2 linked regions of the Nothobranchius furzeri genome follow. The protein of the gene in region 1 purifies or fractionates together with the protein of each later gene. This does not show direct contact. Links are inferred from orthologs where the notes say so. Each region holds a gene or a part of one and is shown on either strand. Other genes may lie near its edges.

Region 1 (4,217 bases):
AAGCAGGAAAACAGTGATAAAGCTAGTTGTCTGCCAGGCAGCTATTAATAAATTATCATGTTTTCAAGTGATGATTTGAGCATGAAGTGTTGTTTGTATTGTTGTGCTGTTTTAAAAACCAATATGAAGAGAAGTTAGCCTAATTTTTTAACTGTGTTAACTCAAAATAATTAATAACCCAGCTTTGTAGTAGGTCTGATGCTACGGCGCTGCAAGTTTTTTTTTTTCCAAGAATGACAATCTATAACAGGCTTACAAAAAAATAAAAACAACTTACTTTTTCACATTGGCTTCTCCGTTGGGAATCCTCCTAAGCTTTTTCTTCTTCAGTATCTTCACAGCCCTGCGACAAAGTGTTTCCGAGTCCAGCATTTCTTTCACTTTGCCATAAGATCCTTCCCCTAGCAGATCTCCCATCAGATACTTTCCAATCAGCTTTGCCCTCTTCCTCCGTGGCTGATAGATCACCTCTGTAGAGTCAATGCGGTGAATGAAAGTGTCCATCTCCATAAGTTCGTTTTCATTTAGATAATCAAGATGCTGCAGCTCCCTGGCACTCATGACTGGTGGTTCTACAACCACAGCCTAAGCCTTACGTGCAAAAAATAAACGTTTGAAAACTGGCTATGATTGCTGCTGGGGTGTAATCTGCTGTTAGCCTTTCAGCACTGAACCGAGGGTTTCCATTAGAGAAGTTTTAAAATGCGGAAAATGCGAAGGAGAGAAATAAAGCCTGAGAACTGACGAAAGGTAAGAGAGAAATCTAAAACCTGTAAAAATTAGGGCTCATTTTAGACAGAAACTAAAAGAGGTGCAGAACCTATTGGCTCAAGTGCTAATTTAGTGCTTTAGACTGTGCATTATGAGCTACGTCTTTGATGAGTGCAGCTAAACAGAACTTCAAATGGGAAAAAAAAGGATTCTACACTATTATTTTCTTTTCCGACGGTCTAGGCTATCGTTTTATAGTTTAATACCATACAACTTTAGGTAAAGGAAACCAGTCTTGTTTCAAGGCCTTGCAGCACAGCATTTCTGTCAAAGGTCCTTGCTGGATGTCATAGTTTCCACCCGACACATAAGTGTTTATAGTTGGATTGGATCCAGGCATAAATTGACAACCAAAGCATGCAGCAGTATCAATCCAATCCCTGGTGTCAGTCAGGCTCCAGGGGATCGACTGAACTGTCCACCACGCTGAACTGCCCTCAGGTGTCCTCCATGTCACTACAGTTTCTACAGCCTGATGTCTGAGGAAAAAGGGCAAAAAAAAATATTTAATTATCAGAACAATCACTGATTGTTTTGCAAAATTACATTTGAGTAAAAATCTATTTACACATATTTAAACACCTGGGTAAACATCTTGTGATCAGACACAGGAACATGATCCTTTTCATTAATACAAACAAAAAAAACAACTTTGTCAGAAAGTACTGTGACACAGTTTTGTTAAGTTTTCTACTTAATTGGCTGATCACAACATATTTGAGGGACTTGCTTAAGAGTTTGGGCTTAAAATGCAAAAACTGAGCTTTCAAATAGGTGGTATTCACATCTTGAGAAAGGGTTGAGGAATTACAGCTAGAATCCTCTTGTATAAGGGCTCAAATGTGGACAAAAAACCTCGGGTATTTCTTAATAAGCCGTAGTTTAACAGTAACGTGGGGAAACAACTAAAAACAACAAAAATGTGTGAACACCTTAGAGCTAGCGGTTAGCAGAAAATTTGACTGAATGAATTAGCTTTCCAGTATTAACTTCAACTTATTCGGCGTGCCCCTTTAGAACAATCATGAAAAGTTTAAAACCAAAGTAACTTGTTTGGCCGGTGACCAACTGAGGGGGTGCGGGGAGACTAGCGAAACGTCGTCACACAACTGTAGCTAACGATGAATGATGTGCAGAAGCTTCATCAGACGTTACAATTAACCAACTTCACAAGAAGACGCGCGATATTATCCAACTATATCGCAGTGTGTTTGTCTGATAATAAAACCAAACTCAGTTCTAAAACGTAACGAGCTTTAAATTTCACCAGAAGGATCCAGCTAACACGGGCTAACGGAGACGCTCAGATTCCAATGCAATTTGCTAGCTAGCAAGCTAAGCAGCTACAGTAACCGGCTCTTACCTTAATCTTTATGAAGGTTATTTCTTTGTGAGGCTTAAATACTTTTAACGTGTTCGTCCTCGATTAATCAAACGTTCCGCTTCAGTATAACACAATATCAGTAAAAATTTCCTCACTATTCGTGCTACTCTTGCCTCTCAGGTTGTCGCCATCTTGTTTACCTCCCCCCCTAGCAGCCCCAACACGTTACTGCGTCAAATCAAAGTCCTCCTCCCCACCCCTCCCCTTCTGGAGCAACAACAAAACTGACCTGTCTGCTTTATTTTTACGTCATTAATTCCCTAAAAACGCACAGTAAAGAATACATTATTTTTATTTAAAAAATGAGTGCAATGTAAGTTAGACGAAAATAAAAATAATCAAAAAGAAAATTACAGGAAAATAACATCTTTTGCATATTTTGTTGTTTCCGCAGATTTTTTTAAATTTACATTATTTTCGTATATTGTAAAAAATTACTAAATTATCTAACTTTCATTTTTGTTCCTTTGCAGTTTCAACTATGTGAATTTATGGTATTAATATAAAACGATCAGGGCTTTGTTTTGAAAAATTCATAACATTTTTTCAAATCTGTGACCTTCTTCATAACTCACTAAAGCATAAGTGAAAAATGATAGTTAAAAACTAATAGGACAGTCTTAGTATAATATGGCGCAGCTTTATATTTTATTTTTTATAAATTCTGCAAAACTCCCCCACAATTCGTTCATTTCACCTTTAAAATTAAAGCACCTTTTGTTAATCGTTGTTTTATTTGCAAAAGTAAATGTTATTGTGCTAAAACTAGAGTCAAATAGAAATGCACCGATTCGTGTTTCGAGGGCTGATGCTGATTTCTGCACAGGTCTGACCTGCTAATATCAATTTTGGCATAATCTGCATTATCTTAAAGAACTATAATTACCAGAATTTATTTTATTTCAAGACCAGAAGTAAAAAATTTGGCATGGAAAATCTGTTTGCACTTTATTGCTGTTTAAAAGGGGGGGATCTACTCTTTGGGACTCAAATCAGCTGAATGTTGGGCGATTGGCATCACCAGTCATTTATTGAGTGCACTCCTACTTGAAAGCACTTATTAAAAACTCAAGCACGTTCAAAACCTATAAAATGGTAAAATTAAAGTATTTTTAAAGATTTCAAACTCCCAAAAAATCTCATCGACAATTTTTAGGAACTATTTAGGCAAAATAAATGAAACAAAACGTATCTATTGAAACCTGCATTTTGTAACACTTTAAAACCCAGTGAGTTTGCGCCACCCCTACAACTGATGTTTTTAACTTTATCAACCTCAGATGTTCCTGGTGTGGCCAAAAGGTGTCTCTTGCTTAGCTGGGGTCTCCAGGGTTATATTTATCCCATGTAAACCTCTCTAAGGAATGGCAAACTGAAGGTCTGATTTCACTGGTCTGTTATCCTCCTCACAGGTCGCTCCAGTCCAATCGTCTCTGCTTTACGGCAATGAAGAAATGAAAAAATACCAACGAGAAAAAGACAAAAACAGATTTAGGTTAAATTTTTCTAAAGTCAGCATTTGTTAGGACTTGGGTAACAATTTCAGATTTCAGTAAGATATCTTTTTTATTGTCATCACTGCAGCATACAATGAGAGGAAGCAATAATTACAGCACAGTGAAAACATCACTAGATGCACAAATTACACAGAAGAGTGTGTTCTTATGCAAAACTGTTATATAGTCAGGAGGGCAAAGATTTCTGAGGATGCAAAATGATGAGAGTAAAATCATCACAGAAACTAAATACAAGTTTTTATAAACTGTAACACGTTACATTATAAAGCTGAAATGCAACAAAAGCGTGAGCTGTGTTATTTTTGTTTTGTGGTAAACATAAAATGTAGCTAATCTGTTGTTAATTTTTGGATTTCAATAACTTCTCTGACACGTAGGACTCAAACATCTCCACAGCTAAAACGTTCAATTAATGCGCGAGCAGACAAGAGGCAGATGCAGAAACGAGCTTTAGAAGTGGTCCTCTGTATCAGTAATACGGCCTCCGGGGATTGTTCTGCAGGAAGATAACACAGCAGATTCAAATATAGTATCAAAGGACACTT
Region 2 (4,232 bases), on another chromosome or scaffold:
TATTTTATTATTACATATACTACAGTCACTAAGCTAGAAAAGTGAAGTGGTATGGCACTTACATTGAAATTTTTAGTGCACTGTATGTATGTCGTTTAGTGCAACAGCGAGTGCAGAAAATGTGTGCGGCCCTTTGAGCTGTTTGCATGCTAGTGCAGCAGAGCATCTTCCCATGGTTTCAGGCTCTATCCAGTGTGCTGTGACACCGATGAAACTTCGTCTGTGTGCAGTCCAGCAGTCTGTGGTGGTAGCAATGTGCTCAACCACATTCAAAGCAGCCTTTAGATTTTTCTTCATTTCCAGTGTTACTTTCTCAACTTTGTTCTTTATGGTGCCTCGTGACATTACAGTCACATCTGGTTGTAAGGTGAGGCACAAGTTTTGAAACCCTCCTGTTCGACAACACTGAGCGGGTGCAGACCTTGTACAACAAAGTTAATGATGGCATCATCCATGCTTTTTTGTGAAACTCTCTTGGTTTCCCACAATTTTAGTTGTTTGTTTGGGCCTCTGTCGTCGGTGTTCAATTTCCGCTTCAGACTGGGCGAGGTTAGCTCATTATACCTTTCCAGGTGATTTGCGTGCTTCCTCTACACAAAGAGAAGAGCAAAAAAGTTAGGTCCACAAAATACAAGATGAAGAAGAAAAAATCCCAATGCGCTTCAACTGGTTTTCTAAAGGGGTAACTGACAAATAACTACAATTGCAGAGCTCAGCTCACATGTGTTACATTTAGAGCATGACACACACACACACACACACACACACACCAGACAAACGTGTGTTCAGAACTCTAAGCCTAGCGAGACGTTTTTCAGTGTGGGGCGGGGGGTCAGCTATGACCAAAACATTTATATTCTGTGATAATTACTCCAACCCCTGCAGATATCTGCTCACTCTGAAGTTCCTTGCATTACCAAAGTTATAAACTCACTTACAAATCATGCTAAATTAACTCAATTGATTTATTGATTTTTTTTACTTGCATAGATAATGTAATTGTAGAATAAAATGGCTCTTACACATTAGGATTGGCTCGGTTGTTTGATCACTACGAGGTTCTCCATTGTTTTAACTGTCTTATCCCACTAGTCTCAACTGATCGAGCTCACAAGTTGTTTTTTGTTTTTGTTTGCTAATGTTTGGCGCTCGTGTTTAGATTTCTCCGTGCCATTTTTATGGTGGAGACCAAGTGCTTGTTCACTTCCGTGTCCCTGAGATGGCTGTGTGATAACAACCTGGCTGTGGGGGTCGAGCTGACTCTAACGTGAAAGTGCCATTACACAATTTGACATAAAAACATTAAATATACAGGGTAACACAGAAAACTGTAAAACACTTGTTTCCATTGTGGCCCTAAAAGCTCAGCAGTAGCTGAAAAAATAAAATCAGGCTTACCTGTACGTGTTTTTTCAGATTTGATGGTGAATTCTTAAAACGCCAGAAGCTCGAGGTTTTTAGGCTGGCACAAAACACAGCGCATCCGCCACGAATCGTTCTTGGAGCCAACAACGTTAAAGAGTTATTTTAAATAAGGCCAAGGATGATGAATGCATCGCTCCTCCAAACCTGCAGCATTTCTCAGGCCACTGTCATCATCCATGTTGTTAGTTAGTGTTCTTCTGGGTCTCAAACCGCGCTCCCACCGGACTCCTCGCCGCACCATTGATTTTTTTCCCTCTGTTTTGTTCCGACAGTTACGTAATGACGCCATCGACATACGTGTAATACGTGCAGTACGAGAGGGAAATGTCGAAGTAACGAGACCATTTTGAAAATGTAAGGAGTAGAAAGTACAGATATTTAGGCTCAAATGTAGGGAGTAAAAAGTTGTCAGAAAAAAAATACTCAAGTACAGATACCTAAAAAAACTACTTAAGTATTAGTACTTCCGTTACTTCCCATCCTCTGGTATTAACTCCAGAGATATTAAGATGCAATTGAATTAAAACATTTAGCAAGAAGCTTAGAAGAAATGTTGCAGCTCTACATTGTTATACATCTAAAGAGCATTTATGGAATTTTGCAGATGTATGAAAACCCCAACATCTCCTCATTTGATCAATATTATTTTACTAATTATCAATAATTAACAAAAACTACTAAACAACTATGTATCCTAACCCGATCATGAAAATCACTCATGAAATACGTGTGTACAATTTCATTCCAACATCTAAAATCAAATGTTTGAGACGAATTTTCTTTTTTAAGGTCACAGGATAAGTAAATTGGAGGACATTGTTTACAATTTTAGTATCATATGGAAGTTATTTACATAATATCCAAACTAATCTGACAGTGACTTAAACTGTTTAGATTCTTAAATTTTATTATGGGTGTTAATTGCAGAAAACACACAGGATGCACGGAGTTTCAATAGAAAACAAGGAAAAACACGCATTTGTTTAGCCAAATCAAGGATACGCTAGGGACAGCTAGGAAGCTAGATTCTAAATAAACCAGTATTATTTCACCATTCGTCTTTAGAAATACTGTAACGTTAAGGCTCACAGGGAGAGCTAGCTAATAAGCAGCTAACTGTAGCTTAGCCTAGCCTACACATAAGCTACACGTAAGCTCGCAGAGACTCGCTGTTGCGGTAACGTAAAAAAAAAACATTTTTATTAAAAACGAATGAGTGGTTCTCGATTGAGCGCTACATACTTGGCAGCAAGGTCTTTGTGAGATCCACTTGAATTCATCAGCTGAGTAAGCTCCTGTCTCACCTCGGACGCCATTATTGTGCGTCACCTGAAGTGAGTCGCGCATGCGCAATTGCTTCCCGGTATTTTCTTGGAATCTGGGATGGTTCTATGGGATGGTCATGGAATAACCACAGGAATAACGCCCCAAATCTCGTAGTTTTCTTTTGAAATAATTTATAAGACGGGTTGCTACTAAATAACTTTATAAACGTATTTCCCTTTTCTCTTTCTCATCTCCTCCTAGTAGTTAAATTGTTGCCACTGGAGGGCGTGAATACCCCTTCTCTTTTTCATTATTTTATTTTTTACTTAATTGAAAGATGCCAATGAAACAGTCAAATACATGCGTAACGGTATAGGATAAAGAAATTGCGAAATTGCAAACATGTACAAAAAACTCAAAAGAATAAACAAAGATGAAGATAATAAATACACATTAAACAATAAGTTAACACCAGACTATTGATCACATGAACACAGTGATTTGGCTATATGTTACAACGGCTTGCCTTAAAAGTGCTGTACCTTTAAGCGTAGCGTCACAGTGACGTTCTACGTGGAGGGCGTGGCCGGCCTGTGAAATGTCAGGGAGGAATGGCGCTCGGCGCGGTATTTTGAACAATCGCTTTTTCCTTTTCTTGTTTTATCTGGAAGCCCTGCCCAGCGTTAAAATCTTGGGTAAGAACGATTGCGTATTGGCTTATTCTAATTATCACCACACTTTATCTCGTAGGAAGCTGCAAGGTTAAGAATGTGTTTCATGTTGAGATATAATGTTGTGCTAGCTAGCTTGGGTTAGCAGGCTCGTTAACTTTGCTGGTACAGTTGTCCTGCCCGCTGGGTTGGGTTGGTGAGGCTGCAGCTGATTATGTAGCCAGAAAGTAGCCGAGTATTTCTCATTAATTAAAATTATATATTTGTATATTCTTTGTGTTTGTACACGTATAAAATTAAAATAACTTTGAGTGTTATTTGGTGCACAGATTCTGGGTTAACTTAATGCACCGTAAATGGAAAGTAACCGCTTTTAGCTGAACAGGGACATGTTTTGACGGAATCTCAACCGACTTCTGCGCGAATTTATTTTTCTTTCTTTATATTTGGAGTCATCAGACCCAGTTTCTGTGAATTGTTTCAAGTTTACGGAGCTGTAAAGCGTAAGTTAGTGTTTTTGTGTCATTTTCTCGTTTATTCGGGGACACCGCTGACGTAAAGTAAAAAGTAATGTCACGAATGATTTAATAAATGTCCCATTTAATACTGATTTAGAACAAGCCCACCGCAGGAGTAGAGACCGTTAGAGCAAACTGTTGGCAGTTGCAATAACTGCATCGTTGGCCCAACGTTACGTTCAGATTAAATATCTCAGGTGACAGGAGGAGGCATTATTGAAAGCTAACATTGTTTACATTGTCAGTGCGCTGCTAGAGTTTCGGACTTGTTCGTGACACACGGTTCATCGCGATTCTCCTCCTCATTCCTGTTGAAGTCGCGTTATTCACGATGAGTTCTCTCTGTTAATAC

Evidence for each region. The genes of interacting proteins can lie anywhere in the genome.
Region 2: the proteins of stk11 (region 1) and cops4 purify together in Homo sapiens (affinity purification with mass spectrometry; 4 studies listed by BioGRID and IntAct, with this or other methods). This does not show direct contact. The link is inferred for Nothobranchius furzeri from reciprocal best matches to the Homo sapiens genes STK11 and COPS4.

What each region holds. Positions count from the first base shown.
Region 1 is NC_091751.1:56,737,857-56,742,073, forward strand, and holds the start of stk11 (serine/threonine-protein kinase STK11), read right to left. Parts: upstream 2,893-4,217; 5' UTR 2,135-2,892; intron 1,251-2,134; 5' UTR 562-1,250; coding exon 278-561; intron 1-277. Other genes in the region: sugp1 (SURP and G-patch domain-containing protein 1), read right to left, coding at 4,142-4,168. UniProt on the Homo sapiens protein: Tumor suppressor serine/threonine-protein kinase that controls the activity of AMP-activated protein kinase (AMPK) family members, thereby playing a role in various processes such as cell metabolism, cell polarity, apoptosis and DNA damage response.
Region 2 is NC_091746.1:62,988,499-62,992,730, reverse strand, and holds the start of cops4 (COP9 signalosome complex subunit 4), read right to left. Parts: upstream 2,801-4,232; 5' UTR 2,742-2,800; coding exon 2,668-2,741; intron 467-2,667; exon of another isoform or gene 63-466; intron 1-62. UniProt on the Homo sapiens protein: Component of the COP9 signalosome complex (CSN), a complex involved in various cellular and developmental processes.